Arabidopsis thaliana: one gene and its partner. The protein of the gene in region 1 interacts with the protein of each later gene in a pairwise test. Each region holds a gene or a part of one and is shown in the gene's direction. Other genes may lie near its edges. The genes, in order: CAT3 and NDPK1.

Evidence for each region.
Region 2: the proteins of CAT3 (region 1) and NDPK1 interact in a two-hybrid assay, tested with the Arabidopsis thaliana proteins (one study listed by BioGRID).

The regions. Positions count from the first base shown.
Region 1 is NC_003070.9:7,135,671-7,154,039, forward strand, and holds CAT3 (catalase 3), read left to right. Parts: upstream 1-7,462; 5' UTR 7,463-7,471; coding exon of another isoform or gene 7,472-7,486; 5' UTR 7,487-8,243; coding exon 8,244-8,435; exon of another isoform or gene 8,436-8,536; coding exon 8,537-8,633; exon of another isoform or gene 8,634-8,788; coding exon 8,789-9,066; intron 9,067-9,158; coding exon 9,159-9,935; coding exon of another isoform or gene 9,936-10,020; coding exon 10,021-10,110; coding exon of another isoform or gene 10,111-10,137; exon of another isoform or gene 10,138-10,209; coding exon 10,210-10,371; intron 10,372-10,463; coding exon 10,464-10,523; 3' UTR 10,524-10,870; downstream 10,871-18,369. Other genes in the region: CYCB2;3 (Cyclin B2;3), read right to left, coding at 81-302, 393-482, 594-728, 811-957, 1,040-1,088, 1,173-1,220, 1,323-1,455, 1,549-1,603; CAT1 (catalase 1), read left to right, coding at 11,142-11,156, 11,743-11,839, 12,113-12,390, 12,569-13,345, 13,436-13,525, 13,616-13,683, 13,786-13,939. UniProt on the Arabidopsis thaliana protein: Occurs in almost all aerobically respiring organisms and serves to protect cells from the toxic effects of hydrogen peroxide.
Region 2 is NC_003075.7:5,912,785-5,928,654, forward strand, and holds NDPK1 (nucleoside diphosphate kinase), read left to right. Parts: upstream 1-10,699; coding exon 10,700-10,750; intron 10,751-10,870; coding exon 10,871-10,919; intron 10,920-11,232; coding exon 11,233-11,582; downstream 11,583-15,870. Other genes in the region: AT4G09340 (SPla/RYanodine receptor (SPRY) domain-containing protein), read right to left, coding at 12,231-12,515, 12,623-12,709, 12,803-12,862, 12,947-13,015, 13,104-13,260, 13,378-13,454, 13,813-13,858, 13,952-14,038 and 2 more. UniProt on the Arabidopsis thaliana protein: Major role in the synthesis of nucleoside triphosphates other than ATP. The ATP gamma phosphate is transferred to the NDP beta phosphate via a ping-pong mechanism, using a phosphorylated active-site intermediate.

The DNA.
Region 1 (18,369 bases):
TAGAAACCAAAAACAGGTAAATTCAACTATGAAGCATCAACCAGTGGTAGTTAATGATCAAGACAAAGTTGTGTATTCACCATATCTAGCACTTCTCTTCTAGAGTAAGCTTTGTCAGAGATCAAGATGAGATCATCTACCACTGGAACTGAAACTTCTTCATATTTACATGCAAGCAACAAAGCAGTAACACCAACAAGCTGAAGCTTTTTCCTCACGATTTGATGAACCGCAAGGAATCTGTCGATGACATTGATTGTGAGATAAAGAGTTTCCTCCATCAGTTCAAACTTGTAGTGCACCTGGACAAGATAATTTTCCAGTCAATTTATCTTCAGGCACATTGAGACAAAAAAAGTGGCATTAAATAGCTTTTGTCTAGATCTGTCTACCTCAATTAACCAGTCAATGAGGATTCCTCTCATTCTCTCATTAAGATCTTGTTGATTGTCCATATAGTTAGGAGGCACGCAACTAAGTTTCTGCAGAATCATAAGAATGAATCAAACATAAGTACAAGATTTTGAAACTACAATCCTTTCGATGATAAAGAACACAAAAGCAAAAGTTGATGTGAAACAAGACAAATTCACCTCAAAATTCTTGTAGAAGGTATGCATATCATGGATATATTCAACCGCAGCCAAAGGATTATTCTTATCACAGGCATCAATATCGATCACAGGCTCTTCTTCTTTGTCTGCATCTTCCATTTCAATCTCCTTCTCCTTTTGAAAGACACAAACAATATGAGTAACTATATTAACACTTCCATAAACAAAGCAAAGAATGGTTAGGAAATATGTATACCATCTGTTCAATCTCCTCCAGCATTGCTTCAGTATGTTGTACAAACATTGGCTCATTAGAGTCACCTCCTTCTTTATCACTTTCATCCACATCAATGATAATCGTCTCTGGTTCTTCACTTGAAACTGAGTCTGGTTTCTTAGTTTCCTAAGAGTTAAAGATCAGAACTTTAAAATCCGGTCTATATCATCATTGCTCTAAATGAAACATACATTGAACAATAGGGTACCTCATCACGGATATGTGGCTTATGATCTGCTAACTGAGCAGCAAACTTCCTGAACCAACAGAGAGTAGTAAAAGTTAAGTAATCAGACAATGTGAGATACTCAAAGTAGACAAGAGTAAAGATCTATGCTTACCTAGTAACTGGTCGATGCACAGGTGGTTTATTACAAATGCCATCTCTTCTGCAAAGTCACAGAAAGAAATAGGGTTCCTATAAGAGTCTAATCAAAGGGAGAAGAAAAAAAAAACACTAATCTTGAATCTGAGGATTAAAGTGAACTTACTCAGAAACTGATCTCTTGTTGACAGCATAAGGGTAAGACGGCGCTTCAGTGATGTTCTTGTTAATAGTACTTAGTGCTCTTCTTGTCGGTCCTGTTGTTGCCGTCGTCTTGATCTTTCCTACTACTCCTCCCCCTACATCAAGTAAATTCAAAATCAATTTGGGGGAAAAATCAAAGAGAACGAAAGTTTTGATTTTTAATAACAAAATCGATCGATTTAGGGTACCTTGGAGACTCATTGATCCGATTAATCCAAGGCTATTTTCATCTGATCTAACCATTTTCTTCTTCTTCGTTATCTGCGGAAGTTATTTATTTTCATTAAATCTCTTCTCTTGAAGAAATCAAATTTCAAAATCGAAACATCCCCCAACTTAAAAGCAGGGGTTTTCAAAATTGAAACTAAAAAAACAGTCTTGACAATCAAAACCCTATAGATCCGGTTTAATAATCTCAATGAAAGACCCAATCAAGAACAACAAAGACCTAAATCTCAAATACCCAGAAGATAACGAAAACCCACGAATTGGTTTTTCAAAAAAATCACCTTTTCACAGTCAATTCAAAGAACCAACGCGAGATTAAGTCGACCCTTGATCATAAATTCTTATGAAACCCAGTGAATCTCCTAAACCCTAATAGTCTTTTATCCCGTTGGATCCAAGTTGATCAAACAAAGGAGAGAAAGAGAGATCTTTTAGTAAAACCCAAAGATTCAACCACGCTCTCTTTCTCTCTAATGGCTTCGGTTTTGAAGATACTTCCCACTCTCTCTCTATCTCTCTTTATAAGGGTAAAGAAAAAAAGAAAAAAAAAAGAGTAAGATTGATTTTGAAGATTAGAAGAGCGTCTATAGTGTATTAGTTTTCTTTAAAATTAACGGCTAGTTCATCTCAGCCGTTGGATCAACGCCACGTGTTCCAGATCGAAAGTTGTCTTCTATTCAACGGTTATAATTGTATATCATCTATGTATAGATTTATTCAAATTCTTTGATTTTTTTTTCTTTTATTCTATTTTGGGGAAGACAACTATTTTTATTTTATTTTTGAAAATTACACCATGAAATAATATTCATTTCTATAAAAACAAATAAAACACTTCTATTTAAAAGAATCAAATATGTCTCCTTTGACCAAAGACCAAGATTCGTTTATATTAATCTCAAGTTAAATGATTTTCTTTTTCAAGCAAGAAATCTCACACAAAGTTTAGATTTTCTTCAAGTGTATCATTAGAATATTATACTACAAGGGCAAAGAAAAAAAGAAAAAATAAAGAATAATAGAGATTTTGAAGACTAGAAGAGCGGATATATTGTCTGTATAATATCTTTAAAATTAACAGCTAGTTGCCTAGTTCATATCAGCTGTTGGATTAATGCCACGTGTTCCAAATCGAAAGTTGCCTTATGTTCAACGGCTATCATTGTTTTTCATCCATGTGTATGTGTACTTATTCAAATTCTTTGGGTTTTTTTTGTTTTCAATAACAAATATCTCGGTAATATTTATTAGGTTAACATGATAACAAAATATTTATATCAATAAATTTATAATTATGTCATGCTAAGTCATTTTGAATCGCAATAAGTTATAACTTATGTGATATATTTATATTTACCGTCTTAACTCATTTATTATATCATATAAAAAAATTAACGAGTTACTATAACGTGCAAAATATGAATTTCATCCAATAAGATTATTATTGTCACTACCTCTAGATAAAGTATTAGTTAACTCGGTAATTTGATTGTTAACCAATTTGAACTGAATCTGAACAAAAACTATCATTGTCGTAATCTTCACAGGTACAGTGGTATGGCAATAAGAATAGTTATATAATATAGAGGTATTATTGTATTTGCCACAAAAATAGTGTAAGATAAACAGTAGAAAAAAATGGACTTAATTTTCGATTCTTCCGAGTAAGAATGATAATACCCTTCCCTTTTTTATTTTGGGAAAGACAACTATTTTTATTTTATTTTCGAAAATTACACTATATAATATACATTTCTATAATAACAAATAAAATACTATTATTTAAAAAATCAAATACATCACCTTTGACCAAAAACCAAGACTCGTTTAAGAAATCAAATACATTTATATTAATCTCAAGTTAAATGATTTTCTTTTTCGAGTAAGAAATCTCACACAAAGTTTAGACCTTCTTCAAGTGTATCATTAGAATATCGTACTATATTTTTATGGGAAAAAGATATATAGAGTTGTTTACATGATAATGGCATTGATATACTGCATTTACTATCAATCACTTTTAAATCAATCAAGTCATTTGTGTAGAAGTGTGAACATTGCGTTTCTATGTAGAAACACAACAATAGCATTTTGTTTCCATTGATATAGATACATTAAATAAATATGATATGCCATTAGGTTAAGTTTGAGATCATTCTATAAGTTCTTGTTTCAGATTTTTGTTATTGGCATTTAAATTGACATGTATATCTTTTAGGTTGCATAAGTTCTCAGTCTCTTGTAATTAATATCCGTTTAATGAATACAACTGTTTTTTTTTCCATTACAGGTTGGCCCAAAACTTACCCACCAGACTAGAGCCCATTAGTATCTTAGATAATAGATATATTAGGCTTGGTGGGCCTGTGGCACAAAAATGTATTGGACTTGTAAAAATTGATAAACTATGTATAAGGTCAATAGTTTTAAATTTCTAATAAGGGTACCATTCTAATAATAACCAAACAATGTTTAAAAGGATTTGCATTATTAGATGATTAGTAATTTATTTGATATTTTGAAAATCTATAAGAAAAGAAACAACACAAAACCTTAAACCCACAGTATAATGTACATTAAAATCTAATGAAAATGAGTAATCCTACAAGTGAAATTTTATTTTCTTGAAAATATAACTACGAAATTTGTTAATTTAAATCATAATTAGTATCATGAGATTCACAATTTGGTAAATTATATACTAACATCATTATGAATAACCAAAAAGGATTGAATGAACTTAAAGCTAGTTAGGTCCCCATCTGAGAAGAAAACGAGGTACCAAAAGATTCGACTGCCAGAAAGCTTTGTCCTTCTCTTTGATTTTTCAACTCCATTGACAAAATTCGAAATCCAAAAAGAAAGAAAGAAAGGATAAGGTGTAATCCCGTTTTTGTCGTGTTGAACCACCAAAACGAATTTTCATTGGTTGGGTTAACACCAAAAAGTTACTAAGCAAGGGTAAGATTTCTACGTGGCAGCCTGTAAGTGGTTCTCAGTTGCCCTCGTTTATGATATGATAATTTAGTAGTATAGCCCGTGAAGTAATTTGCCTAAACATTATCGTCAACGTTCATTATCTATATTTACTTTTTACTTTTGAAATGTAAAAATAAAAATTTACGTTGTTTTAATTGACTCACAATTTTACCACGATAAAATCTTAGAGCGTTACGTGTTATATTATGTACTGTATATAAAAACTATGTATATATGTATGATATAGTATTGGTAACCCTCTATTTATTTAGTTTGGACACCTCAAGAAAATATTGGGTGTGAAGTAGTTGATATCCTATGTCAGTATTAATTAAGCAGTAGTTTCTCGCATGGAGCTATGCTGTTTTTTTTTTTTAGCAGCTAATACTAGTCCTATAAGAAATAGCAGCTAATACTAGTCGTATAAGAAATACCGTATACGTAACTGAGTAAATAAATTACGGATCATATGGTATATGCACGCACGCATATAGTAACAAAATGAAACATACACATTCAACAAAAAAAAAAAACGAAAAAACACTACACCAATCTATTTATTATGCATAAGACTGACAACTAAACAATTTTACTATCATATTTTTCTATCTTAAACTGGTTGTTTTTATAATCTCCGGGTGGTTCTATAGTTAAGGTACTTAATCAAAATCCCAATACGTTATGTTCACAGTTAAATATAGAATTTTGGTCGTTAAATACCAAGTATATTCGAATTCTACGGCTGAAAAAACTCTTAAGTTCTTCGCTACAAAACAATTGACAATCCCGCATGCAGTCATATGCACCATGACGAAACTTGCGAGTTGCGAGAATATTATCACACAACTCTACAAATTTAATTATATGCATAGTACAATTTAGCTAAGCTACGTACTACTTTCCCAAAGCTTCTGGCATTTTTTGACTTTTGTCGTCACTAAACGAAGAGACTTGACCGTGGTAAGACGATTTCAACAACTTTATCTGATAAGGGGACTATGATATTTTGTGTCAAAAAAAAACGGGGGCTATGATATTTTTTACATAGCTACAATTTCTTTTTCTTTTTTTGGGGTGAATCTAGATATCAGGCTTGGGTTCATTATTACTTCAGGTTTAGGATTAATATTGGATAGCATATATATCCTCTAATTTGTAATTAACTCAACATTTGATAACACGAAGATATATTCTGTGATTTGAAATTATCTATCATCAAAAATGGAGCCAATAACTTTGAAACAACACGTTTTACCAGTGATAGTAACACCACATTTGGTTATGTCATATGTGCTCCACGTGATGTGGTCCATGTGGATACAAAATAACACACACACAAAAAACTGCATTTGAGTTATTTTAGTCATTGCACTTAATATATATGCGGCATACTGGAGAGGATTAAAAGTCCTAATAACTCTAAATGTCTAAATTATAAACAAGTAAATTTATAACTACGAGAGTATCTCCCTACTCCACTTTTATCTCTTATAGCTTATTGGATTGTTGTTTTCGTAACAGAGCTACTACAATGTTTATGGAGGGGGGCAACTGCGCAATATGTCCTTTAAAGAAATATATAAAAGAATGCGAAATGAATTCTGTTAAACGGAGATAGATGAAGATTGTCTTCTAATGATTGCCACTTTCTGAGAATAGTATGTTACTGTTGATTGTTGTACCTAGCTCTAGTTGTAAATAATAATATCAAACTAAGTAACAAGAGCAACTTGTTGACACTAAAGGGACCCCAAGTTACCCTCAATCAAAAATTGTGGATCAGTTCATCATCGAAGTAACGTGTTAATTATCGTCATATGCTCCACAACATCGACTCCCCACCATACCCACTCAATAATGTCAATTCAGCTCTCTCTTTTTGTATTTTTATAAAGAATGTATTTAAATTTTCAACCCATAATTTATAGATTCATGATCATCTATTAATAATTCATTAAATACTTTTCTGCATATTGATTTATTTAAAAGCCGTACGCAAGCTCAAATCGGATAAGACTAAAATAATATCACCCAGTTAAGTTAACTAACTTATTTTATTTTGAATAGTAGTATTAATTACTTTTGTTCAACTACTCCAATACTGTTTATATCCTTTCGACGGTATTAGTTATTTTCATGTTTCACGCATTTTTGTAATTGCAAATACAGACACCTTTGTTGTAACACATGTTGATTAATTTTCCGAAACTATATACTTTTGAAGACAAAAATTTAAAACAAAGAAACCTCAGATCTACAGTTCCACCTCGTGTCTGACACGAGTTTCTATGCGATAAGATCGAACATGTATATCAGCAGACTTTACTATAGATGAACTCATATTAGTAATAAGATCCAAATACGGAAATAAACAACTTGGAAAGTGAATGGAAGTTTTAAGAGAAAAATCATTTCTAGAATTATTTTTTAGATCATTTCTTTTTTTGGAGCATCCATTAGAGTTTTGTTTTTAGACTTTATGATTTATTTTTCTTTTGTTATCAGCACAATAATTGATTTTCAAAAGATATTGTATCTTTTTTTTATCTCTTGAGAAGCACAGCACAACAACGAGCAATGCTGACTTGTCGGGGTCAGCGATTATTATTAGTCACCGAACGAATTTTTCTTGGGTTGGAGCCAAAACCTAGCAAAAAAATATCTAAGTGGGGGCACTACATTATTGTTTTAACACCAAGGAAAAGTAAACAACAATGGCCCATTTTTACTGTATCGAGAAATTGATCTCGAAAGGACAAATGTACCCTTCCACTTCGGGAATCCATTATTGTGCATAACACACGCTGTTTCACTATATATACTTTCACATAGGATCTCAACACTCTCACTAAACCAAAATCCTCAAAAGCCTATTTGGGGGATCATCAACCTTCTATCATCACCATGGATCCTTACAAGGTATCTTCGATCATATTCTTCTTACTTTTTCTTTGTTTTTGTGTGGTGTATGTGTATCTTAATTAGAATTAGGTTCAACTATATATGCTCGTTTTCTAAACTATTTTTTAATTGGATTGATGTTCTTAAATCTTAAGGGTCAAAATACTTTTTATGCTCAAAAACTTACTTAAATTCTGTGATCGCTTGAACCTAAGTTGATGATGTTGATTTCTGTTTTGGCTGGCTATCTTTAATTAAAACGTTTAACCACTGCGTGAGAAAGACACGCCACATGTGGTTTTTGTTGTTTTTTTCCTTAGATTAGAAGTTATTTTGTTGTTGTTTTTTTTTTTATTATTATTACACACATGTGTTCTAAAAATCGGACGTTCAAATGATATAATCGATTGTTTAGACGTCCGACCGTATATTATTTTAGTGATATCAGCCAAATCAGATTAAGTAATCATCAACAAAATGATTGATCAGATCTACTAAACACCTGAGTAATCAAATCTACACGTTTGATTAATCAAATTAAATAACCGATCAGTTAGATCTATACATATGATAAATCTTTTTTTACAACATTCGGTTAATCAAACCATTGTCGGTCGATCTATCAATACAAGTGTATTTTTTTTTCACATACAAAAAAATTATCTCACCGACGAAAAAAAAATAAAAAATTATTATGTAGATCCATCGAACAAAAGGCTTGAATATACGGAAGTCACTTAAAAGTGTAATAATCGAATAAATATTAGTGGATAAAATGAAATTTATCTACAACCCTACTCTCCGACATGTTACTGTTTGCGTCATCAAATCTAAAGCCTTTTTGGCAAATAATGGTCGGAAGACTACTCGTGTCGGGATGGACCACCCGGATCCGATCAGGAAACGGGTTTTGATATGTTTCGGGTTACGACAAAAAATTAGGGCTTTTTATCAAATCAATCAGTTGGTAGTAAAATTTTGTGGATTGTTCTTGTCGATTCCGTTTGATTGTTGACCAAATTTCTTCCTGGATTTTGTTGATAATCGATCGTATAATGGTGATTGCAGTATCGTCCTTCAAGCGCGTACAACGCCCCATTCTACACCACAAACGGTGGTGCTCCAGTCTCCAACAACATCTCTTCCCTCACCATCGGAGAAAGAGGTATCGTAACCCTGAATTTCAAGAGTCTATCAATAAGAATCGGAACTTGTTGGATTTATGAAAGAGATAAAACTGAGATATAGAGTCTAAGCTGAGATCTTGTTCGTGAAGCGTGATGTGATTATTTTTAACATGTGTTACTTCGTAATGGGCAGGTCCGGTTCTTCTTGAGGATTATCATTTGATCGAGAAGGTTGCTAATTTCACCAGAGAGAGGATCCCTGAGAGAGTGGTTCATGCTAGAGGAATCAGTGCTAAGGGTTTCTTTGAAGTCACCCATGACATTTCAAACCTCACTTGTGCTGATTTTCTCAGAGCCCCTGGTGTTCAAACTCCGGTTATTGTCCGTTTCTCCACCGTTGTCCACGAACGTGCCAGTCCTGAAACCATGAGGGATATTCGTGGTTTTGCTGTCAAGTTTTACACCAGAGAGGTATAAGAAAAGATTCAAAGTTTCCATTTTTAATCGTCTTTTAGCTTCTTTAGAATCAGGACTGATTTTTGTCTTGTTACTGTTATGATCAGGGAAACTTTGATCTTGTTGGGAACAACACTCCGGTGTTCTTCATCCGTGATGGGATTCAGTTCCCGGATGTTGTCCACGCGTTGAAACCTAACCCGAAAACAAACATCCAAGAGTACTGGAGGATTCTGGACTACATGTCCCACTTGCCTGAGAGTTTGCTCACATGGTGCTGGATGTTTGATGATGTTGGTATTCCACAAGATTACAGGCACATGGAGGGTTTCGGTGTCCACACCTACACTCTTATTGCCAAATCTGGAAAAGTTCTCTTTGTGAAGTTCCACTGGAAACCAACTTGTGGGATCAAGAATCTGACTGATGAAGAGGCCAAGGTTGTTGGAGGAGCCAATCACAGCCACGCCACTAAGGATCTCCACGATGCCATTGCATCTGGCAACTACCCCGAGTGGAAACTTTTCATCCAGACCATGGATCCTGCAGATGAGGATAAGTTTGACTTTGACCCACTTGATGTGACCAAGATCTGGCCTGAGGATATTTTGCCTCTGCAACCGGTTGGTCGCTTGGTTCTGAACAGGACCATTGACAATTTCTTCAATGAAACTGAGCAGCTTGCGTTCAACCCGGGTCTTGTGGTTCCTGGAATCTACTACTCAGACGACAAGCTGCTCCAGTGTAGGATCTTTGCTTATGGTGACACTCAGAGACATCGCCTTGGACCGAATTATTTGCAGCTTCCAGTCAATGCTCCCAAATGTGCTCACCACAACAATCACCATGAAGGTTTTATGAACTTCATGCACAGAGATGAGGAGGTACGTCTTAGTACACCACTTGAGCTACCATTGTTAGTCTTTTTACTTGGAATCAAAATTCTCATTTGGTTTGTACTTTTTACAGATCAATTACTACCCCTCAAAGTTTGATCCTGTCCGCTGCGCTGAGAAAGTTCCCACCCCTACAAACTCCTACACTGGAATTCGAACAAAGGTCCGATTCCTGCCATGCCTTCTCTAAATCTTCAAATCCTAAACTCAAGTTTATTAGAATATTGGTGCTAAGAAAACCTTTTAATTGCTAATGTTGCAGTGCGTCATCAAGAAAGAGAACAACTTCAAACAGGCTGGAGACAGGTACAGATCATGGGCACCAGACAGGCAAGACAGGTTTGTTAAGAGATGGGTGGAGATTCTATCGGAGCCACGTCTCACCCACGAGATCCGCGGCATCTGGATCTCTTACTGGTCTCAGGTCAGAACAAAAAAACACTCGGTCAAATTTCTACGTCCTTTTTACCAAGTTTCAGCAAACTAAAACATTATTTATCTCTCTGTATCTCTCAGGCTGATCGATCCTTGGGACAGAAACTTGCAAGCCGTCTGAACGTGAGGCCAAGCATCTAGAGGCCAATCTCCATATAAGCTCAGTCTATGTGAGGTACAATCAATCTCATCGATCTATCATCGCTTGGTCGTTAAATCCGTCAAAAAGATAATCACATGTGTTGTTGTTTCTTGTCTATATAATAATAATGCTTGTAATCCCAAAAACTCATGTTTCCTTCCTTTCTACTCTCACTGTCTTTGTAATCTCTTTTTACAATAAATCAATGTTTCTTGAAGCAGTAAACAATTTCTAAGATTTATGGTGGTCGTTATACATATTATTAATTCAGGAAAAAAAAGAGAAGATACCGTAATTGAACATGTATTATTTTAAGGAGAATCCTGAAATGGATCAACAATTGTCTAATTATGGTATAGTATCTGGCGAAATCAAAGACGATATCATCCACACGTAATTAGTTTGACTATTAATACGAGGATTATCATTTGGATAAGGATTAACAAAGACAAAACACATACGTGTTTTGGTGTTGAGCTAAAATAAGATATTTTGGCTCTCGCTATAAAAAAAAAATCGACAACAGTGCAGACACACGCCGATTTGCGAGATACACACAGTCTCACCTAAAAATCGCAAAAGAAGAAAAATTCGGATCAAAATTGTCTTCAAGCATCATGGATCCATACAGGGTACATCGATTGATTCTCTTTTTTTGTAATCTGTGATTTTACCTTACTTGATTTCGTATCGATTTGGTGTGATTTCGTGTTGAATCCAAAGTGTATGAATGATCTCTCTCTCTCGGTTAAAATGATGCAAAATTGGGGTGATTGTTCGACTTGTTGAGGTTTTTTTGTGTGAATCGATTTCTTTATTATATAGTGGAGATTGGGTTTCGATTTGCATGCGTTGAAGATTCCACTGGAAAATTCAACATGTTTTTCCGTCTATTGATTGTTTATTTGTCAACATGCTCATGCTCATGCTCATGTTCTAATACACAAGTCTTAAGGCTGACGTGATCTGTCAATATCGTTGTACATGTTTTAAGGTTTCTTTACGATTTTTTTAAAGTTATTTTAATCACTGTGTTCAATTGTGAATATCATTGTTGCTTGTATCGTATTTTTTTAATTGATCATATATACTTATGTGGAATTGTTATGTATCAAGTATCAATGTATCATTATTTGTCATAGACGTTTCTCCAATCTATGGAAATTTGGTTAATTTTTTTGTGATCCAGTTCTTCTGAATTTATTTGTTGGTGTGCAGGTTCGTCCTTCAAGCGCTCATGATTCCCCTTTCTTCACTACAAACTCGGGTGCTCCTGTCTGGAACAACAACTCTTCTTTGACTGTCGGAACTCGAGGTCCGTTTCTCTTTCTTATCTCTTGAATACAAATTATAACAAATATGTTGAACCAGTGGTTGTTAGAAATGCCCTTAAAGCTAGAGTAGTGGAAGCCAAATAATTTTATAAACGTTTGGATAATAATGTCATTAGTGTTTTTGTTGTGGACTTGCGTAAATCACATTTCTTCCTTCAGTTTTATGCCAAATCTGATATAATTCCTCAATGTTGATTCTGTCTCAGTTGCTTGGATTTTTAGATATGTTAAGCGATGGTTTTATATATTGTCAGGTCCAATCCTTCTGGAGGACTATCATCTGCTTGAGAAACTCGCTAACTTTGACAGGGAGCGGATTCCTGAGAGGGTTGTTCATGCCAGGGGAGCCAGTGCTAAGGGTTTCTTTGAAGTCACTCATGACATTACCCAACTTACTTCTGCTGATTTTCTTCGAGGACCTGGTGTTCAGACTCCTGTTATCGTTCGTTTCTCAACTGTCATCCATGAGCGTGGCAGTCCCGAGACTCTCAGAGATCCCCGTGGTTTTGCTGTTAAGTTTTACACCAGAGAGGTTAGCTTTTTGTCTTATCCTTCCATTGTCTCTCTATTTTCTATAACCGATATCGATGTGTTTGCTGATATTCAAACGTTTATTTGCTTATCTATTTCGTTTCACCACCTATATGATTACTTGCAAATCATATCATACTATACTGATGATTCCTCTTACCCTCTGTTTGCAAACTCAGGGGAACTTTGATCTTGTTGGGAACAACTTCCCTGTATTCTTCGTCCGTGATGGAATGAAATTCCCTGACATGGTCCATGCATTGAAACCGAATCCCAAGTCTCACATTCAGGAGAACTGGAGGATACTGGACTTCTTCTCCCACCACCCAGAGAGTTTGCACATGTTTTCATTTCTCTTTGATGATCTCGGTATCCCACAGGACTACAGGCACATGGAAGGCGCTGGGGTCAACACTTACATGCTAATCAACAAAGCTGGAAAAGCTCACTATGTGAAATTCCACTGGAAGCCGACTTGTGGGATCAAATGCCTGTCGGATGAGGAAGCTATCAGAGTTGGAGGAGCCAATCACAGCCATGCCACCAAAGATCTCTATGACTCGATCGCAGCCGGGAACTATCCGCAGTGGAATCTCTTCGTTCAGGTGATGGATCCTGCCCATGAAGACAAATTTGACTTCGATCCGCTTGATGTCACAAAGATCTGGCCTGAAGATATCTTGCCTTTACAACCTGTTGGTCGCTTGGTCTTGAACAAAAACATCGACAACTTCTTTAATGAGAACGAACAGATTGCATTCTGTCCTGCTCTTGTGGTTCCAGGCATCCACTATTCAGATGATAAGCTACTCCAGACCCGGATCTTCTCCTACGCTGATAGTCAGAGACACCGTCTTGGACCAAACTATCTGCAACTACCTGTTAATGCCCCTAAATGTGCTCACCACAACAATCACCATGATGGTTTTATGAACTTCATGCACAGGGATGAGGAGGTAATCTTATCTCTCGGCTCTAGAAACTCCCAGATACTTAAATTCGCAATCACATTTATATGAAGTGAATTTGTTGCTTTCCAATTCCAGGTCAATTACTTCCCTTCAAGGTTGGATCCAGTTCGCCATGCCGAAAAATACCCTACAACTCCTATTGTCTGCTCTGGAAATCGTGAGAAGGTCAGAGTCCTCTACATACATTAATTTTTGATCACAAGTTTTATCCTCATAAGTCATAGTTAAAACTCAAATGTCATCTTTATATCACAGTGCTTCATCGGGAAGGAGAACAACTTCAAGCAACCAGGGGAGAGATACCGGTCCTGGGATTCAGACAGGTAAACACTAAAAACTCAAAAACCACATTGCAAAATCAACAATTACACATGAACCACAAATGTCATAATTCATTCTAATGGTCTTTTGTTTTGTACCAATAGGCAAGAACGATTCGTGAAGCGTTTTGTTGAAGCGCTTTCGGAGCCTCGTGTCACGCACGAAATCCGCAGCATTTGGATCTCTTACTGGTCTCAGGCAGACAAATCTCTGGGACAGAAACTAGCAACTCGTCTTAACGTGAGGCCAAACTTCTGAATGATATCATCTCTAAAGACTAAGTGAAATCCTATAAACTCAATATGCTCCTCTTACGGTTTGGTTTCTAAGTAATCTCGTTTATTGACAATGAAACGCTTAAAGAAGGGTACTAGTTCCTGTTTGTAATCTTCTTTTCAAAATATTAACGATTATTTTCTAAGGCAAATAAATAAAAAGCTATGACTAATATAGCTTAGTAAACAAGTATCACTATCATCCATTTGGTTCTACTTTAAAAATGGATTTTTATTTGTATTTTAATCTTCTGCATCTATGACGTGAGCTTATAGTTGGAATTTTATTGGGGTCTAATGTCAGACGCACGATCTTGATAAAAAAGTTTTATGTCTGTCCATATTTTGATAAATTGGCATAGTCATCACTCATCACGTCAGACCTTTTAATTGGTCAATCGTTATGATGCTACATCGCATTCATAATTTATAATTTACATGTAAGTGGGGGTGGAGTATTTGATTATTCCGCTGCTAGTGGAAATGCAAAAAGAATAATGAGAGCAGACCAATTTTAATTATGCTTATACTTTGTTGCGCTTAACTTTTAATCAGCTAATACAGTCTGATTAATCTGATGTCTCTCAGCCAGTAGTTTCTTTTCTTAAAGAGAACCTCAGCGCAAATCAGAAATTAGACACATGGAGCCACATCAAACTTAATCACCAATAATATCCTTTTCTCATGTATTTTTCAGTCTCATATTTTTTTTTACAACTTGTTAAGTGGTAGTGTGCGAAGATTTTAGATCGAAGTTACGCATCTTAAGAGATTATTTATCCAATGAAATGGTATAGTGAACTGTGTTTGCTAATGGTCCAGGATTTTATACATTTAAAATTCATAACTTTGCAGTTTAACGAAAAACAATAACAAATTTAACGTGTTTTGGTTGTCGTTAACAAGATCTCGGATCCATTTAGGAAAAGTCAATATCTTGATGACGAAATCAAGAAGACTTTACTTTGATTGCATGTGACGGAACTTAAGCACTATACTAAACGATAAAATGTAATTATGTAAATATCTAAGTTTTGAGGTGTATAATGCAAGAGTATAATTTCGTGGACCTACGTCTAGGTCTACCAACAAATGTACTCAACATAAATAATATCGTCTCCGTACCCCAAAAATAAGGTATATAGGTTTTATACCTAACCAAGACGTGCAAAAATTATCACAATTATTTGACGTGGAAGTTAATGATTCGGCCAACCTTATACTAATTTTGTTTTGCAATTAAGGACTCATTTTTTGTGTATTATATTAAGGGATCTCTATTATCAATGTCCAACTATTAATCATTTTTTATACGTTTCAAAGCCCTATGAAAAGAGATTCTATTTGCCCGGATCATAATTTAAAATTGTGTAATCAGAATCTTCTTTTGTATTTGCAAAGTTTAAAAATTCATTGGTTACTCAAAAAAGTTTGTTTTCCTTGCAGTTCTATTGGTTTCTTTCTGATTATTGGAGTGTTTTTAGTTATATTTTATTTGTTTGTGAAACTGATTATTGGCTGTTTAGGCAATAAACTATATACAATTAAAGTAGTGCAAGATTCCAATTTACCCGTTGGGACTTAAATCTCAAACAAAAGTAATGAAAGAATTCATGTGGATGTGACCATGATTTGTGTTCGGCGGATGTGATCAATTATTTAAGCTCAAGTATCATGGTATCTAGTTTATATAAGTGGATAAGATATATGAACACAATTATTTGTAATCCACAGTTAATTTTGTATATATTGTTTGTTTTTCTATTATCCTATGAAGTTCAACAAACAAATCACACTCCACTATACATGACGGGATCAGTAATTAGTTCAACGCCTTTATACCATATGTTAAATATTGATGTGATTTATACACATTTCAACATGGGGTTGCTAAACTTGAACATAAGATCTTATGTTTTAAATTTCAGATGTCTAAGCGTTTATCTAAGCCATCCAAAATCACCCTAACTTCGATTTTATTCAAATAAGCCACTAAATTTAGTTAGAGTCAAAAATCTAAAATCTAAATTCTAACCGGACACTTCGTACATACAAACCTGATCGAAGATTAGAAGTTATATAAAGAGGTCTCTTCCACAGAGAAACAAAAAAAACGAAAGATAGTTAATTTTGTGATCGTCTTTTTGTCCAGAGTTCTTCACAATGAAGGAAAATATTACGTATGGGAGGAGTGTTGCATTTTGTTTCATCAAAATATATAAAACTCCCAACAGCCCATATGAGTGACCTAACGAAAACTTTTTAATGCTGACTAATATATATCATCATCTTCAATTCATTCTCAAATAAATATCTTTTTATTTTATTTAGAAAGCACTATATAATTCAGTCAATTAGAGAACCAAGTTGACCATATTTAAAACTAAAAGATGATATTTAGATCTTAACTACGTGTCATATATGATGAATTCTGAATATTTTTCTAATTTGAATATTAGACGAAAAAGTTGGTCATTAGCTTTATCCTTGGTAAAATGTTAAATTTTGTTAAGTAATTTTTCACTGATTAAATAAATATTTCAAATAAAATAAATAACTCTTTACAAAAAAAACTCTAGCATTTCGGTAGTCCACTAATTATACAATTATATAAAAATCCATGTTTAAGTTTTGACCTATATAAAAATAAAAATAAAAATCCATGTTTAAGTTTGGACCTATATAAATAAAAAGTAAAAATCCATTTTGAAGATCAAAATCCAACTTCTTTTATAGTAGGACCGGAATAAAACAATGTACAGTGTGACACACTTACTACTGGCAAAAAAAAGGGATAAATGAATGTGATTGAAAATGTGAAGTCATGAGTAAATATTATGTGGAGTGTACCTAATTAGAGAATACGTTAGACAAAACCTAAGTGGAGGAAACGCAGTCATGCACCACTTGTTTCGTCTTTTTAGCTTTGCGCTTCCTGTGAACGTAGATTGAAACACTTGCGAGTATAAACATATTCCTTGTTACGTATAATTAAATTTGTATGAATAAACTTAATTTACGTTCTGTTCTCTGTTATGTTACGTTTCGTTTCGTTTCCGTTACGTACAAAAAAAAATATTTTCATATGAGATACTAGACTAGAACACTAGAGTACTTATTCATGTTATATATATCCCATCCGCCAAAAGCTATTTTGTCCTACAACTAACGTGATCCAAACTAATAATCATGAAACCCTACCGAATACGAATTATGTAAATTTTTATAAAATCATCCTCTCACTCACTCGTAAATGTGGATTTCACATTTGTTCGTCCAATCTAACTCCCCTCCTGAAAACTATCATACCCCTTTTTTAAAGCATCATTCAGTTTGTCTTTTCTCCCTTCTCAGTTTGTTGTACCATATTATAACCAGACCATGAATAATCTCTTATATAACTTGACTTGATCACAACCAAATCTTTTCTTAAATTTGATTTTTTTTTACAAGTCCTTTTCTCTTTTTTTGAGCATTTGAATGTTTTTGGAATGACTCCAATAATTAAACCGCTTCTTTTTTTTTTGTTAAAAATGTAAATATTTTATAAAATAAAATAAAAACAGATTAGATTTACAGTCAAAAGTTATTGACCTATACAAATGATTATAGCAAAAAAAAACATGGAAACATAATAAAGCATAATTGAACCGCTTTCCACAACCTTTCTTAGAAAAACATTTTCCACATCGATTAAACCGTTCCACAAATCCACAAAATTCATTCATTTCTTACTATGTGGTTACTAATTAGAAACGTATATGTTGATTGTTGAAAACATATTTTGATGAATTGTTCTAGCTCAAACAATGAAAACATCCTTCATTTTTGTGAGAACTCGGTTCGAACTATCATAAAACTTTTAAAACGAAAGTATATTAATAATCAATGGTTTTGCCTAACCAAATAAATATTTCTTTTATTCGTTAGCGGTGGAATCTATTCACGAGCAGAAGATGGTATTGGTTACACAATACCCTCCACTAAATAGAAACTTTTGTTTCACTGAACTACTTTATATTGTCAATTTGAGTAGATTAATATATTTTTTCTGATCAAATTGAGGGAAGAACCTACTCCCCCACTCGTTTATTTTTATTTACTCTATAACTTCTCCAAATAAGCCTATAGGCTATAAAGAGTATAATAGTGGCCTTTAAAGATTCTTTAATTTTTCATAATTATAAAAAGATTATAACAACATGTAACAAAATTGACAATTGTAGGACATGAATAATTATTAACTTATCCTCAAACAGCAACAAAGCGTCTAAAAATCGAAAACGATTCGCTTTGGTCATCACCAGCATAATAAAATGTTGAAGAATCAGTCTCCAAATTCAATAAGCTTTTGAACAAATTGGCGAAATCAGATATTTGGTATATTTTAAAGATACGTACAGCCATTATATT
Region 2 (15,870 bases), on another chromosome or scaffold:
ATATTTTAGGGTTTTGTGCCAACAACCCTCAAAAAATTTTTTTTTGCAACATAACCTTTCATATTAAATACATGTAGGTCAATACTCTGATATCAAAAGTCACCCGCAATATAACCACGTGCATAGATTTTATATAATCCTTGGGCGTGTATAGATTTTGCAAACAGTATAAGTATGTATATAAGTGATTAAACTACGTCGTTTGAGCATTTTTCGGAAAATAATATATTACTAAAGTGGATTGGAACCAATAAGGCCCCGATCCAGATTTGAAACCAGAAATTGGAATTTTCAAACTTAGGGTTTGATTTTGGGGATTTATAAGTGGGAATCTTTCGTTTATGTCACAACGTCGTCATATCTGGTCAATAACGGAGACTCTTTCACAACCAACGTCGTATCTGGTCAATAACGGAGACCCTTTATCTATGTATTTTGAGATAACTCAGTCGTGAAGGAGTCATAACTAAGCTGTGTGACTATTATAACTCGGCCAAACCCTGAAAGTGCTTTCCTTAAGCCATCAGTTGGTACAATCAAGTAATTAACATATCATAATCACATTCCAACTAGTGGAATCATGAAACTATCTCATATTCTATATACTTTATCCAACATCATACCCAACAACATCATTCCTAGAAGTTTGGTCAACATAGTTTGTCAATCGACACTTACCGAAAACTCAATTTATTTTTTGTTTTCATATAATAGATCTTGAAACTAATAGAACCAACAATTGGGTGGCTAGTTTGAAATCTCATAATAACATCTGGTTTCTTATAACTCGGTCAAACCACAAAATCTTCTGGCATAACTCAGCCGTAACGTATTGGTATTGTGAGGCCCAAGCCCAAGAGGGTCCCAACCAACCCAAGTAACACACAAAACCCTAAGCGTGTGTATGTACATATGTATATATCTCCCTCTTCACGCAGCTTCTTCTCACATCGTCTTCATCACCATCACTTCTTTATCTCTCATCTCAATCCCAGCCATCATCATCATCGTCGTGACACCGGAATTGAAGTCACGTTGGGGTCATGATTGTTTAACGTGGTTGGTTTCGTCGCCGTTCATCACCGGATTGTTAGGTAAGGAAAACCTATCATGGCTATGAACTATACTACTGAAATTATTCCATTTAGCAATTGGATTTGTGGATTATAACTTCAACTATTGAATTTTTGTGTGAACATGTGAAATAATGAAACAGTTCAAGTGGTAGGCATAGGATATGAAACACTTCAATAATTTCCCATTTCCTCTACCATAGCTGCAATTATTGTTTTAGGCATAGGATATGAAACTTTGTGTGTGAGAAGAGCATACCGTTGATTTGGTTTGATAATTCCTTTCTTTAATCTCGTGGTCATAGTATGAGTGGATTCTGTAGCTGAATGAAGAATGCTGGAGGTTGGTTGTTCATGCCTAGAGGATGATGAGAGAGCGTTGTTGCCAATAGGATCAAGATCGGAGCTTTCCGTACACTCAGAACACTCCTCATTTCCCGTAGACAGAGTTTCAATTTCTTCAGTATTATTTTGAGAAGGAATGATTCGCAATGGTGTAACACAGACCGGTTCACTTGGTATGTCTTGATTGTTGTTATGAGGTGTTGTCTCCCCCTCTGTAATTATAATAGTAGGACTGCACTCTAATGAAAGGTTCTGTTCTTGATTTTTTGTGATGACAGGGACATTTGTACCAGTATTAGAGCCATCGGTTTCTTCCTTTTCCAATGGAACTGAAGAGCTTGAGAAGCCTTTTAACCAAGCATCAAACATCGGAGTTGGGGAAGAATGTTGCAGGCCAGTGTAAGTATCAATGAAAGGAAAAGAGCCTTCATCAAACACGACATGGCGACTTAGATACACTCGTCTAGTTGGAGGATAGAAGCAGCGGTAACCCTTATACTTATTCGTGTAACCGAGAAAGATACACTTGAGAGACCTCAGATCAAATTTATTGCGAGCATAAGCACGAAATGTAAGGAAGCAGGCACATCCAAACGTTCTCAAAGCTGAATAATCTGGTGCTTTGCCAAACAAAACTTGATAAGGTGTGGCAGAGCTGTCAAGAGCTGTTGTGGGAAGGAGATTACTCAGGAAATTGGCAGTAAAGAACGCTTCAACCCTAAATCTCTATGGTGCTTTGCTTTGAAACATTAGTGTAAGACCCCTTTCTGTAAGTTGACAATGCTTTCTTTCTGCCAAACCATTTTGTTGTGGTGTGTGAGGACATGAGATGTAATGTTGTATACCATATTCTTGAAGATGTTTTAAGAACCGATTACTTGTAAATTCTCCTCCTCCATCACTCTGAAAAGTTCCAATTTTTGTTTGCAAAAGATTTTCAACAAGACTCTGAAACTTGATGAAGATTGAACAAAAATCTGATTTTTGCTTCAATGGATAGAACCAACAGAATCTTGAGAAATTGTCAATGAAGATTACATAATACTGAAATCCTTGAATAGATGAAAGAGGTGCTGGACCCCAGAGATCACAATGAACTCTCTCTAGAGGTCTTGAAGCAATAAAATCTGAAGAAGTAAATGGCAATCTCGAACTCTTCCCAAGCCGACATGATTCACACACCTTGCTGGTACTTTTATTGATTTGGATCGTCTTTTTGTTAGCTAAGAGCTGAAGTACTTGAGGATTCGGATGGCCTAATCGCATATGCCAGACTTCATCAGTTGCCTTGACTTGTCTGGTGGAATAGAACGTCTGAAACTTTGGGTTCTCCAACTTATAAAGTCCCTCATTTGTACTGCTTCCCATTGTCAGAACTTTGTGAGTTACCTTGTCCTTTACAAGAACACCATCAGCATCAAAGGTGAAGGAGCAATGATAGTCTTTAGTCAATTTTGACAATAACAACAAGGACTTAGCAATATCAGGGCATACCAATACATCTGTTAAAGGAAGATTACCTGATGCAGAGGGAAGGCTTGCTGAGCCAATGTGAGTGATAGGTAAGAAGTTGTCATCGCTAGCCATTACCGTGTCATTACCAAAATAAGGTTGCATCTGTTGAAGACGAGAGCTGTTGTTGGTGATATGAGTTGTGGCAGCAGAATCAGGAACCCAACCACTGTCATCTGTAACATCGGTGATGTGTAAAGCTGAGAAGGCAGTAGCGGCAGCTTCAGAGTGTTGGTAAGAGTTATCAAAGTTCTTGAGTCGGTAAACAACATCTTCATAGGTCGGACCATGAAACGCATCTAAGGAACCTTCAAGAGAAGTGATTAATGGTTCATACTCACGGGTAAGACCATGAACCATGGCGAAAACCTTCATCTTTTCGGCAATTGGACTTCCCACTGAGGCGAGTTGGTCACAGATGGTCTTGAGATAGCGTAGATACTCCTCCATGGTTTTGCCTTCTTTTGATAAATCGTGAAGACGACGTTGGAGCTCAAAAATCCGAGAGGAAGAGATTTGATTGAAGTGTTTTGCGAGATTCTGTCATACCTCATGAGATGTTTTTGAGCCCACGACAACACTGAGAATGTCTTCAGACAATGAACCAAGCAGCCACACCATAACTACTTGGTCGGAGCGAAACCAAGCTTGATATTCTGGATTTGGAACAGCTTCAGTGACGCCAGTGTCTTGGGGACCAGAGACAGTGCTGATTGGAGGAGCAAAGGCGCCATTGACAAAACCCAGAAGACCTTGTCCGGAGAGGAAGGATTCGAATTGGGATTTCCACAGAATGTAGTTACGGTCTGTGAGTTTCACCGTAAAACAGTTGGGGATGTTTAAAGATGGAAGAGTATAGAGATCCATGGATTGATCCATGGCTCTGATACCATGTAAGTTAAAATATGAAATCGAAAGTCTTTTGTTTATTGCTTCCAACTTAAGCCTTTGTGATTACAAGCTATGTCTATTTATACATCTAGATTGATTTAACCTAGTGTCTTCTTGATTTGCATAGCTGTCACTTGGCTGTTATGTGGCGTCGTTGTCTTCACATGATTCAAGAGCCTTATAGCGATTCCTCGTCGTTACTTCCGTACTGCGTGGAGATAAGGACCGCTCTGCAACTTTTCTGCTTTTGTCCTTTGTTGTTGCAGGTTGCCGTTGCACTATGTTGGGCTTGGCTCTTGGATTGGGCACTTGTTTCAGATTGGGCTTTAATGGTTTTGAGCCCAATTCCAAAACTGTGTCGTTTGGAGCTGTTCTGTTGATATTAGCTTCTCGCTAAACTAAATTGTTGACGTGGTAAGTTGGATGGACATGATTTTAGTTTAGACCAGGGATTAGTCCGGGTGTATATATTGACGATTGATATATATAAATTACTTCAGTCAATTTAAAATTCAGTTTAAACTTGTTGAGTATATATATAGAGATATTAATTTATTTAATAATTTAATTTTTCTAATATTTTCCTCTTTGAATTATTATTGTAACACCCGCCCCACCATATAGGCCAAGACGGCATGTTATTCATCTGATCTTGCCAAAAAGTTTTCTTTAAACTTTATACATGAACAAAATATTGCACATAACTCCTTACGCCTACTAACCTGAGGAAAAAGGGAAGAAAAAAAGGGTGAGTAAAGAATACTCAGTGAGGGGAATCAACTCTGCCCACTGAAACATAGAACACTTTCTAAAGCTATACAACCATCATTATAACATATAAACTTAGACACAAGCAAACAACCTAACATGATTTACTTCTAATAATACATTCATAATAACCATCTTATCAATAATAGCACATATATACATATCCTTAGGTCCAGTCATCCTCGTGACGACTAGAACCTCATGAGTGGAGGCTGGCCCTCGTGGCTCATACACTCCCATGCATCCCGGGCTCGTCAGCCTTTCTTGACCAGCATGTAACCCGTCGGCCCATCACTGTCCACATTACTAGGGAGACCACGGCCTATAGCTCGATTCTCCCCAGTCATACATACATTATACATACATCATACTCAACAATCATCAAATCATATCATCACATAATCTTATCCTATGCAATCAGATCTAAGCCTGCATATCAGGCGTCAAGATGCATAACAAAAGAAAATGATACTATGTTTCGCAAATACCATCCTCACCTTAGCCTAGTGAAGATGAAAACTCCTTTCTTTTCACTTAGACGATCTTTACTAAAACCACATGCTCATAAGCTCTAACTTAGTTCTCCTTCAACCAGGACTTGAATCCATGAGTCATGAAAGCTCCTGCAAAGCTTCAGCTCCAACCGAACTCGTTTCCCAACCAACAACACAAACTCATCACTATTTACTTCAAATAAAACTGTCCTGGAAACATACTCAGAAGTAAGGAACTAACCGTTAGAAACGTGATCCCACCGTTGAAGATGTAGATAGTAGTATCATGAATTACTCCACAAATTTACAGCATGATCGGATTTCATTACAAGCTCCAAACGTCGTCGTCAACAAGCCTTCTCGAACTGTCATTTAAGATTTCCTGGATTCACAGACTTTGCAGTTACTTATCATGAAAGAAACGTGCATAACTTCTTTAATATAATCCCGATTCCATCTCTGTCAGCGGCTATGAATTCTTCACATCGTCTTCTTTCTATAGACACCTTATTCGTTATTTGAGTCCCTCTGGTCTGTCGGGAAATCATCCTGCAAGAAACATTCTTGAAATTGTACTTCCTCTTTCCTCTTTTCTCTTCTTCTTCTTCTTTCTTTTCTTTCTTTCCTCCGACTGATCTCAACACCATCTACAAAATAGACTCATCACTGGTTTTTCATCACCATTGAATGATCTCGTCTCCATCGCCGCTTTATCTCCGACGCAACCAATCTCTTTGTTTTCCTCTAGTGGATCATGATGCTTGCTTTCTCTTTGATGTGGTGACTCTGGTGCAGCGAACACATATGGTGGTTTTGACCGTCTCCTCTATTCCTTTAAGGACCAAAACTACACTATGAAATCTCAGTTTACAAACATCGGCGACAACCTCTAACAACAACGACGTCTTGGCAACCTTGACTATCTAGCCTTTCTCTCTTTTATCTCTCTTTTTTCTCATGGAAAGCGGCTAGGGTTTATTTTTGTACGAGCTTGCTTCGCGATTCAACGGAGAAGAGGATACATACATATATACGTACATATGTGCTCAAAAATCTAAATGAAACCCTTATGTCGTTTAGTTTAAAGAAATAGGCCTTAATGGGCTAGAAGTCACATGATGCAAAATGGCCCAAACACAAGATTTGGGAGCTGGGTGTTACAATTATTTTTGTTAATTTCGGTTAAATTTGGTTAATTTTAGTTATTTTTGAAGAAAAACAAAAAAAACCACAACGAATATGATAATATTTCGGTTAGTTACGGTTTTCATTTATTTAAGTTTTAATTTTTACTCATTGCACATTGCACCTTAAATAAATGACTCATAAAATCTCTACCCATTGAACATGCTCTAAAATGAGTTATTGACCGTCATGTTATCGATACACAGAAGGGCTATGTTGCAGGAGATTTTTCAGATTGTGGTTTGACCTGTATGTATTTGACATGGAGGTTTGTCTTGCAAAAAAAAATTAAATTGAGTTTTTTTTTGCACAAAAGCCTTATATTTTAAAAAAGAGTTATCGAGTGTCATGTCATCGCTACATGGGAAGACTGTATTACGGGTGACTTTTGAGATTGTGAGATTGACTTACATAATTTGGACTTGGATGAAAACTTGCAAACGAAATTGACTTGAAGGGTTGTTTTGTAGAAAACCCTAATACCCTAATGTTAACTAAGATACCGATCTGTTATCGTATAAAAAATGTTTTTAGCATTTATTTATTAAGATTAGGTATGTAGAATCAAAATCAAGTTTATCATGATTAAACAAAGAGTTAATTTGTATTTGCTAATGGAATGTGTAAGATTTGAATTTTGATTTAAATAAAAATACTAAAATAAATATAGAAAAGTGAGCAAAATACTATTTATAATTCAAAAATTATCGATAAGATATATTGTGTAGAATTAAAATGCAGTTTATTGTTATGAAATAAATAGTTAAATTGTATAGAAAAATGGAATGTGTAAGATTAAAATTTGGTTTGAAAAAAATACTAAATTAAATGTTAAGAAAAAAATATATTACTATTTAAAATTCAAATATAATCGATATAATATTATATTTATTTCTTACACCCATTTTTAGGCGGACATTATCTAGTGTATTATAAAATATAAATCATTTACCATTACTAACAGTTAATATTTTATATCTACAATACAATTTTGCAAATTATGTATTTAAAATAATTCGTTCCATTCATGGGGTGGCTTTCTTAATTATTAATGTTTGGTTAAAAGAGAAAAACAACCAGTAATTAAAATATATAGAAATTAATATTGTTGTAAATTTGTTGATTTACTAGATGTATGTTATTCCATACACTAATTTTTGAAAGATAATATTTTAATAATTGTTATTAGTCGTATTGAACGTTTACAAAAGATGTAGAAGAAACCAACCTGTAGCTTGGGTTCAAAACCTAGTTCTATTAATACTAAGGTTTGCTAATCATGTTTAAAGTAAAAATAGATGAATTTTATCAATCCAATCTCTATGAATTTAATATTTTTTTATATAATTTTGTATGTTTCATTGTTTATTATTTCATATTATCATTCTTTTAATTGAAATATGTTATTCTTATCATCATCTGAAAATTGTTTTTATTCACTGGACTTTCCCATATATAACTGCTCCATTGTTTTACATTTTTAGAACCCTAGTTTGTTCTTTCCAGGTCATTTACTATGTGGTTTTTAGATGTGGACAATAATATAGAGGTTATGAAATTATCTGAATCCATACTTTTTGAATATGTGAAACTCGGATAAACATCAAAATATCCGTATCAGAATCAGTAAAATGTTAGTAGAAAATATTTGAAGGTATAAAGAGTTGGGCAAGATGTGTTAGCGGCAATGATTTTGAATGTGATGAGAAGTAATATCTAAGAACAAGTGGTTAGATACACAATTATGTGAATAGCTGATATAGTAGATACAACAAAAAAATGATTGATGAGAAGGAGATAGAGAAAGGGAACTTTGGTCCATTGACCAATGTGTTTGCGATCACTTTTTCAAATTTTGAAGTAATTGACTACATTGTACAATTTATGTGTAATCATGCATATAGTTTCTACATCGATTCATCATACAATCATGAGTTTTCATATATCTAGATCCTAATTACAATCAAATATATGTTTGTGAGAGGTTGTATGTGACTTTGAATAAAACACAACATCCTCCATTATATCTCTTTTGAGGATTTCAGATAATTTTGAGGATTTTTTTAGTTGAAAACACATATATCTAACTAACATGATTTAAGTGGAATTTGGGAAGATTTTCAAACAAATCATTACAACTACTCTAAATTCACTTAAGATCAACAAAATCATAAAAACTCAAATCATTTAAAACAAATGGTTGGATACACTTTGAAACTTGCAACTTATATTTCGATTGGTTGTTTTTTTATAGTCGATTGTTCTTAAAAAAAAACTATATACTTGATACATATATTAATAAATAAAAAAATTAAAACTATAGACTAAATGTTTTGCTGTGAAAGTGTGTTATTTATATCTTCAACATGAGAGAATGCATCATTGGTGGTGTGAGATAAAACCATTGTGTCTTTCTAACCCACATCTAACAAATATTTTATCGAATTGGGCCTTAAAATAATAATAAGTGAAGACTCAATAACACTAAAAATGCAGCGAATATTCTAGCTCTACAATGTTCTTCGGTATAATTAGAGTTAAAAATTTGTGGAGACTATATATAACTCATTTTGCCTCCCATGGGTCATAAGCAAGCAAAAAAAATGGAGCAAACTTTCATCATGTAGAAAACTTGTCTTTCTTTCTTTAATACATATTTGAAGGTCTAAAAGAGTTAGGCAAGATGTGTTAGCGACAGTGTTTTCGAATGTGATGAGAAATAATCTTTAAGAACAAGTGGTTATGTACAAATTTATGCGAATAGATGATAAAGTAGATACAACAAAATGATTGAGTAGCAAGAGATGGAGAAAGAGAACTTTGCTCTATTAAAAAATGTGTTTGAGATCATTTTATCAATTTTTGAAGTAATTGGCTACATCGAATAATTTATGTACTTATATATAGTTTCTATATCAATTCATATACTTGATATATATATTATAAAAAATAAAATCCTTAAAACTACAATTTTTGTTTAGAAAATGTGTTGTGTATATCTTCAACATGAGAGAATGCATCAAAGTGGTGTGATCAAACTCTTTTAATCCAAATCTAACAAATATATTAGGGTTTTGTGCCAACAACCCTCAAAAATATTTTTTTTTGCAACATAACCTTTCATATTAAATACATGTAGGTCAATACTCTGATATCAAAAGTCACCCACAGTATAACCACGTGCATAGATTTTATATAATCTTTGGGCGTGCTTAGATTTTGCAAACCGTATAAGTATGTATATAAGTTATTAAACTACGTCGTTTGAGCATCTTTTCGGAAAATAATACATTACTAGAGTGGATTGGAACCAATAACCTATAATACTAAATAATGCACTTAACCAATTGTGCTGCAAGATTTATTGTTGATATTGCATACCGATAAATATATATTGTGAACATTGCATTCTGGGTTTCTTCATCTTCTTAGGAAATTAGGTTTATTAGCAATCCGAAATCTCTATTCACGTGAACTAGTTTGTTTATCACCACTGATTTCATTATCTTTGGCCATCATCAACAATTTGTAGAGCAAGCAAGGGCTCATTCTCATCGCAATTAATCTATTCTTCATCGAGGAAAGCTCTGAGACGAGGCGTGGGTGGAAGAATTGAGCGTGTTCAGACTTGGGTTTGATCCGATCGTAACCGCTCGCGCTGTTTGTCAAGTTTTATGTTTACAATTCTGAAATAATGTTATTGTTGTATTCGATTCATGTTTAAACTATATATATTAATCGGTTTGTAAAGTTAACAAAATCACTCTGCTCAATTGGTTAAGTAATCTTTGAATAGTTCAATATGCCATGCGTTCAAATCTATTTTCCAACATTATTTTGCGTTTTTGTTTAAAGGCTCAAAACAACGTAGTTTTAATAACCTATATATAAACATACGGTTTGCAAAATCTATACACGTCTAAGAGATATACTATAGGTGACTTTTGAGATCGCAGACCTGCATTTATTTAACTTACATGATTGAGTTACAAAAAAAATTACTTAGAGAATTTTTTGGCACAAAATCCAATTTTTATAACTAATTGAACCTTAAAATAATAATAAGTAAAAGCCGTTTTTTTTGTTAAAAGAAGGCTCAAAACGACGTAATTTTAATAATCATGTACAGATTTATATGATTTGCAAAATCTATACACGTGCAAGAGTTATATTGCGAACGACTTTTAATATCACAGTATTAATCTACGTTTGTTTGACATAAATAATTAAGTTGCAAAAAAATATTATTTGTGTTTTTTTTATGAAGCCCAATATTTTATTTAATTGGGCCTAACATAATAATAAGGGAAGCCCAATAATTTGTAGCAAATATTCTAGGGTTAGAATATTCTTCAACAGAATTAGGGTTACATGTGCGGACTCTATATAAATCTTTTTTGCCTCCTACGAATCACAAGTAATAAGAAAACAATGGAGCAAACTTTTATTATGATCAAGCCTGACGGCGTCCAGAGAGGACTCGTAAGCTTCCCTTTTCTCTTAATACATACTTGTTGATCTTGATCTGATTTTGGTTTTGTATTCAGTTCTTTGGATTGTTTATACTTAAAAGATCGATATGTTTGTGTTTTTTTCTTTCAGATCGGTGAAGTCATCTGCAGGTTTGAGAAGAAGGGTTTCACTTTGAAAGGTAATGATTTCGATTACCAAACTTGATTTTACATTATAATTAGAGGTCTTAGATCTAATTAAAGTCACTTTGTTACTTGAATTGAGATTGTAATGACACTATAGTTGCTTATGGTTTGGTCTAGTTTCTGAACACTAATAGTTTAGTAAAACTTGTTTGACTTGACAAGTATTCTGTGTTGTCTAATAGATTTTAGATTATAGTATCTGTGCATAAGAACTTGTTATTATCTGGACCTTTTGTATTATGTAATTTGGTAGATAAGAGTGTTAGTCTTGTGTTTCTGATCAGTGTAGATTTGTATTTTATACAGGTCTGAAGTTGATCAGTGTAGAGAGATCTTTTGCTGAGAAGCACTACGAAGACTTATCTTCAAAGTCTTTCTTCAGTGGACTCGTTGACTACATTGTATCCGGCCCTGTTGTTGCTATGATCTGGGAAGGAAAGAATGTTGTCTTGACCGGAAGAAAGATCATTGGAGCTACCAACCCAGCAGCTTCTGAGCCTGGAACTATCCGTGGGGACTTTGCTATTGACATTGGCAGGAACGTGATCCATGGTAGTGACTCTGTCGAGAGTGCAAGAAAGGAGATTGCTTTGTGGTTCCCTGATGGACCTGTCAACTGGCAGAGCAGCGTTCACCCTTGGGTCTATGAAACTTGATGATCTGTTGCTTTTTCAGTAGTGTGTTTTCGACATTGCTTGTCTTTTGAACAAGACTTCTATATTTAAGTTGAGTTTGATTATCCTTCTCTACTTTGCTTGCTTGCTACATATGAATACAACAGCTACCAACTGGTGATATAAAATATATCAGTTATTGCAGATACTGAACCAAAATTGACTCTTACCAATGGTTAGATCAAACCTATTTAGTAAACACAAGATCATACTTCTTGTAACCTTGTGTTTCATGAACACATAATGTTGTCAATCTCTTAGATGCTCTCGAAAACTGCGACGTTCGACAAAGTGGCAAGCTTAAGTTGTCTAGTAAGCCATTGTCCAAGTTTGAGGCTGACACCAACTTGAAGGGGGCATACTAGGAGAGAGTGATAAGAAAAGTTTTGAGTATTTGTCTACTGAATTTCAAGCTTACTGATGAACATTGGCAAGCTAAATTTAAATAACTAAATTTTACAATTTTGGTTCTTCAAACTTTAGAGAAGAAAAGAATCCAACGGTCAGGTTCAACTCCAACCCGTCTGTTTCAATCATCTATTTTGACCGCTTATTGTAGCTGCCTGTAACAGTTCAAACCCAGCCACTGTCAACAATCAAAGCCAAGTTTGTTTCCAAAGATGGACACAGCTAAGTAGTCTTTTTTGTCCTCTTCCAATTGTTGGTTCTAAGAAGTCGGTTAAGCGAGAACGCTTCTCCTTGACCATCGTTAAGCGACCGCAGTTCCAGACAGCAAGCTGTTAGTTGTCGGAGAAGTGTCTCTAGATGAGAATGCGATTGATTTTTGCCCTTTGGTTTTGTAGATAAAATCGCAGCATTCACTGTGTCTGCCACTACTTCCCTTTGAGTCTCTTCTAGGAAATACCCTACATTCGATTCTTCGGGGCGTTCGTACACTAGCAAAGCAAAGCAGTCCTGAAATAGATAACAAGATGCTCGAATCTCTTGTCTTTGAAACCACTAAATATTGAAAAAAATTCCAAAACACCACCACTAGTTTAAGGTTGCAGAACCATCATTACCTCTAAAATGTCTTGGAATGTAGTTAAACCAATGAATTTGGCTAATTCCATTCGTCCATATTTCACAGCCTCTTCTAGTGCTCCAATCTAAGTATGTCACATTTTAGTATTTATTTACTTAGAGAGAGGTCAGTCTAACCGCAGTGGATCTGATTAATATATAAGGAATGAAGAGCATACCCGTACTAATTCAATGAACTTTTGACAGTGAAGGAGGAAGCATACTTCTGATTTATCGTTCTGCAGATTATACAATTGAGGTAAGAGTTCATATTTTCAATGTAACAATATGAATCAACTGATATGATTAGTTCCTCAATCCACCTGTACAAGTTGGGGATAGCTATCTCGGAGTTTCGCAAGAGCAGCATCGATCTCACCCTTCCGTATAAGCTTTACCAACCGACGTATGGATCAGTTCAATACTTAACGAAAGAGATGTAGTAGTAGTAACGAGCAAGATAGCAGTCTAATTCAATACCTGTCTAAGAATTTTTCTCTCATGCAATGCATATGATGTATCATCAATACCATTTTCTTGAGCTCCATTGATAGGAGGAAGTGTACTGTTAGTAGCCAAGTCTAAAGCATGATGAGTCTCTTCATACCCATAATGAAGCAAATAGTTCTTTACAAGCCTGATGATCAAAAAAAACCAGAAGCTTCTTAGCTACGCAGAAATTTTATTACCAATGCAATAAAAGAATAGAAGAAAAAACTTCACCTCAGTAACTACAGAACAAGAGTGTACTCACCCAAGACTCATGTTCGATGGTATGGATATCTTTTCGATTGCTATTTGTTGCTTATTCCTCTCCGATGATTCATATCCCTAACACAACAGAAAAAAAGAGGAACAGCTAAATCATACGTAATCACTCCTGTAACCTTAACCTCAAACAAACCTAAGGCAGAAAGAGAAGCACAAGTAAACACATATTACTCTCTACCTCAACTTTCTACACATATTACACATACAATTCTTAATCGTAGAGTCTAAGAGAAGATGTTTAATCACTGTATTTTTTTACAGTGAATCATCTGCCACATTATATGTTTGTACCATATCAAAAAGATGCATATGTTTCTTTACTATACGATAGTTATACTTCGGACTATCCCATCGATAAATTACACAAGCTAAGAGCTAGAAACTCCACTAGTATACCAAAAATATTCAAGGATCTTACCTTAAAATCAAAGGCAAACTTCTCCTGCCCGAAGTTGACTGTAACCCTACCAAGATTCAGAACATCAAACAAAGAACATATTCAAGCACTTGAAAAATAGTTCACGCTGACATCATATTAAGAAACAAAGAGAGCATACTCTTCGTTTTGGCTATGTACAGCTACAGTAGGGAATAGAGGACCCTTGATGTACTTGGAGACTGTCCCTACCAGAGTTCCATTTACACTGGCATCTCATAACAAAGATATGTCAGAACTGTAACATGAAAATGAATTGACTCTTGAACTCTTAGATACTCACGTGAAAAAGAATTCCTGCGAATCATAGTTTATACCACCACCAACAGTATCACCAGTTGTATAAGTCGGACCAAAAGCTTCACCTTGACGTTTTCCTAGATATATAAGCCCATCTTCACCATGATAACCACAAGTGTTGAGTTCCCATCTAACCATTACATAAGAAATATCACAAAACTATCAATTTGAATGCTCAGCAACAATGATATAGAAACAAAATCCAACACTTTCGTATGTTCTGATCCTAACCAAACATAAATAAAACTCACACAATTGAACCAAATCCTGAACCTAATCAAACTTAAAACAACTAAACAAAAATAAGAGATCTTTAAGAACCTAATCAAATCTAAACAAAACTCAATATCATACCCAGGATGTCTCGCGATTCTGAAACTATTAGTAGTGAAACCAATGGAGACACGTCCTTTAACACCAGCATCTTTAACATAAATCTCGAAGTAATAAGCGAAACGTTTACACGGAGCAGGTTTATTAGCTTGAACAACGCCGACATCGTGACCGTGTTGAGAAACGCCAGTGTATTTGAGAGATAGCTTATCGGGAGAGATAACTACAAAACCGCTTAAACCGGTGATCGTGTTTAACTCCGTCGGTGATTCTTCTTCTTCTTCGTTATCTTCCATTGTATGTGGTTTTGCAGAGTGATGAAATTTGTGAATGAAGTTGGATTTGTTCATTCAAATCGCAGAGAAGATAATTGAAACCCTAGAATTTTGCTGATTGGTGATTGATTATAGAGAAACAAAATTGTTGAGCGAATATTTTTTATTTTTTTCAAATGATCTCTTACAAAACCATGTGATTTCGGTTCGGTTTTTATTTGAATTATTCGGTTTTTAAAAATTTGGTTTCTTAGTACTGGTATCCAAATTATGGATGGTTTAGTATGGTTTTATTTTGGTTCGGTATTGAATGTTTATCTACAATATCCTTAATTTTTAAAGAAATTTCGGTTTTAAACCATTTTTCTTTGTTTGATTTGATTTTGGATCGACTTTTCAAATCAAGTATCTCGATTCATTTACGGTCGGTTTATTGGCAACAACTTAACATTAAAAAAAGCTAAGAGTTCAAATGGTTACGCGGTTAGGACGGACAAATCTATCAACGGTTTAGACTGCTTTTTGTTTAGGAAAATTGCACAATCTATACTTGGAAGAGTTGTTATTTAAGTGTCCAAAAAAATCACTGTTTGACTAATATTGTACATGTGGAAATTGCGTATGTACCCCTAGGAAAATCTTTTTATACTGTATGAATATATTGTGTCAGATTATTATTATTCTTTGCATGTAGTCTTTTTTCTTTTTTGCTATTTATTTATTGATTTTTAGGGAAACCAGTCGTCATCGTCATTTCTCTTTCTAAATGGAAAGTTGTATCCCTTCTTTCCCTTATTAAAACACAGTCCAAAAGATAAAAGTTAATGTAACATTTGTATTAGGTGCTAACTCTAATTCATAACAAAAGTGAAACTATCTCAAATCACCATAAACTTATGATATTAGCCGGTAATCCAAGTATTAACATACCAGTTTGTATTAGGTGGTAACTTTGATGCAAAACTTATGAATTCAAATTTTTAATACCTCTAAGGGTATTATCACTATATGTAAACAGGTATTAGCCGTTAACAAAATGTTAACGTAACAGTTGTATTAGGTGCTAACTCTAATTCATAACAAAAGTGAAACTATCTGTAATCACAAGGAACTTATGATATTAGCCGATAAC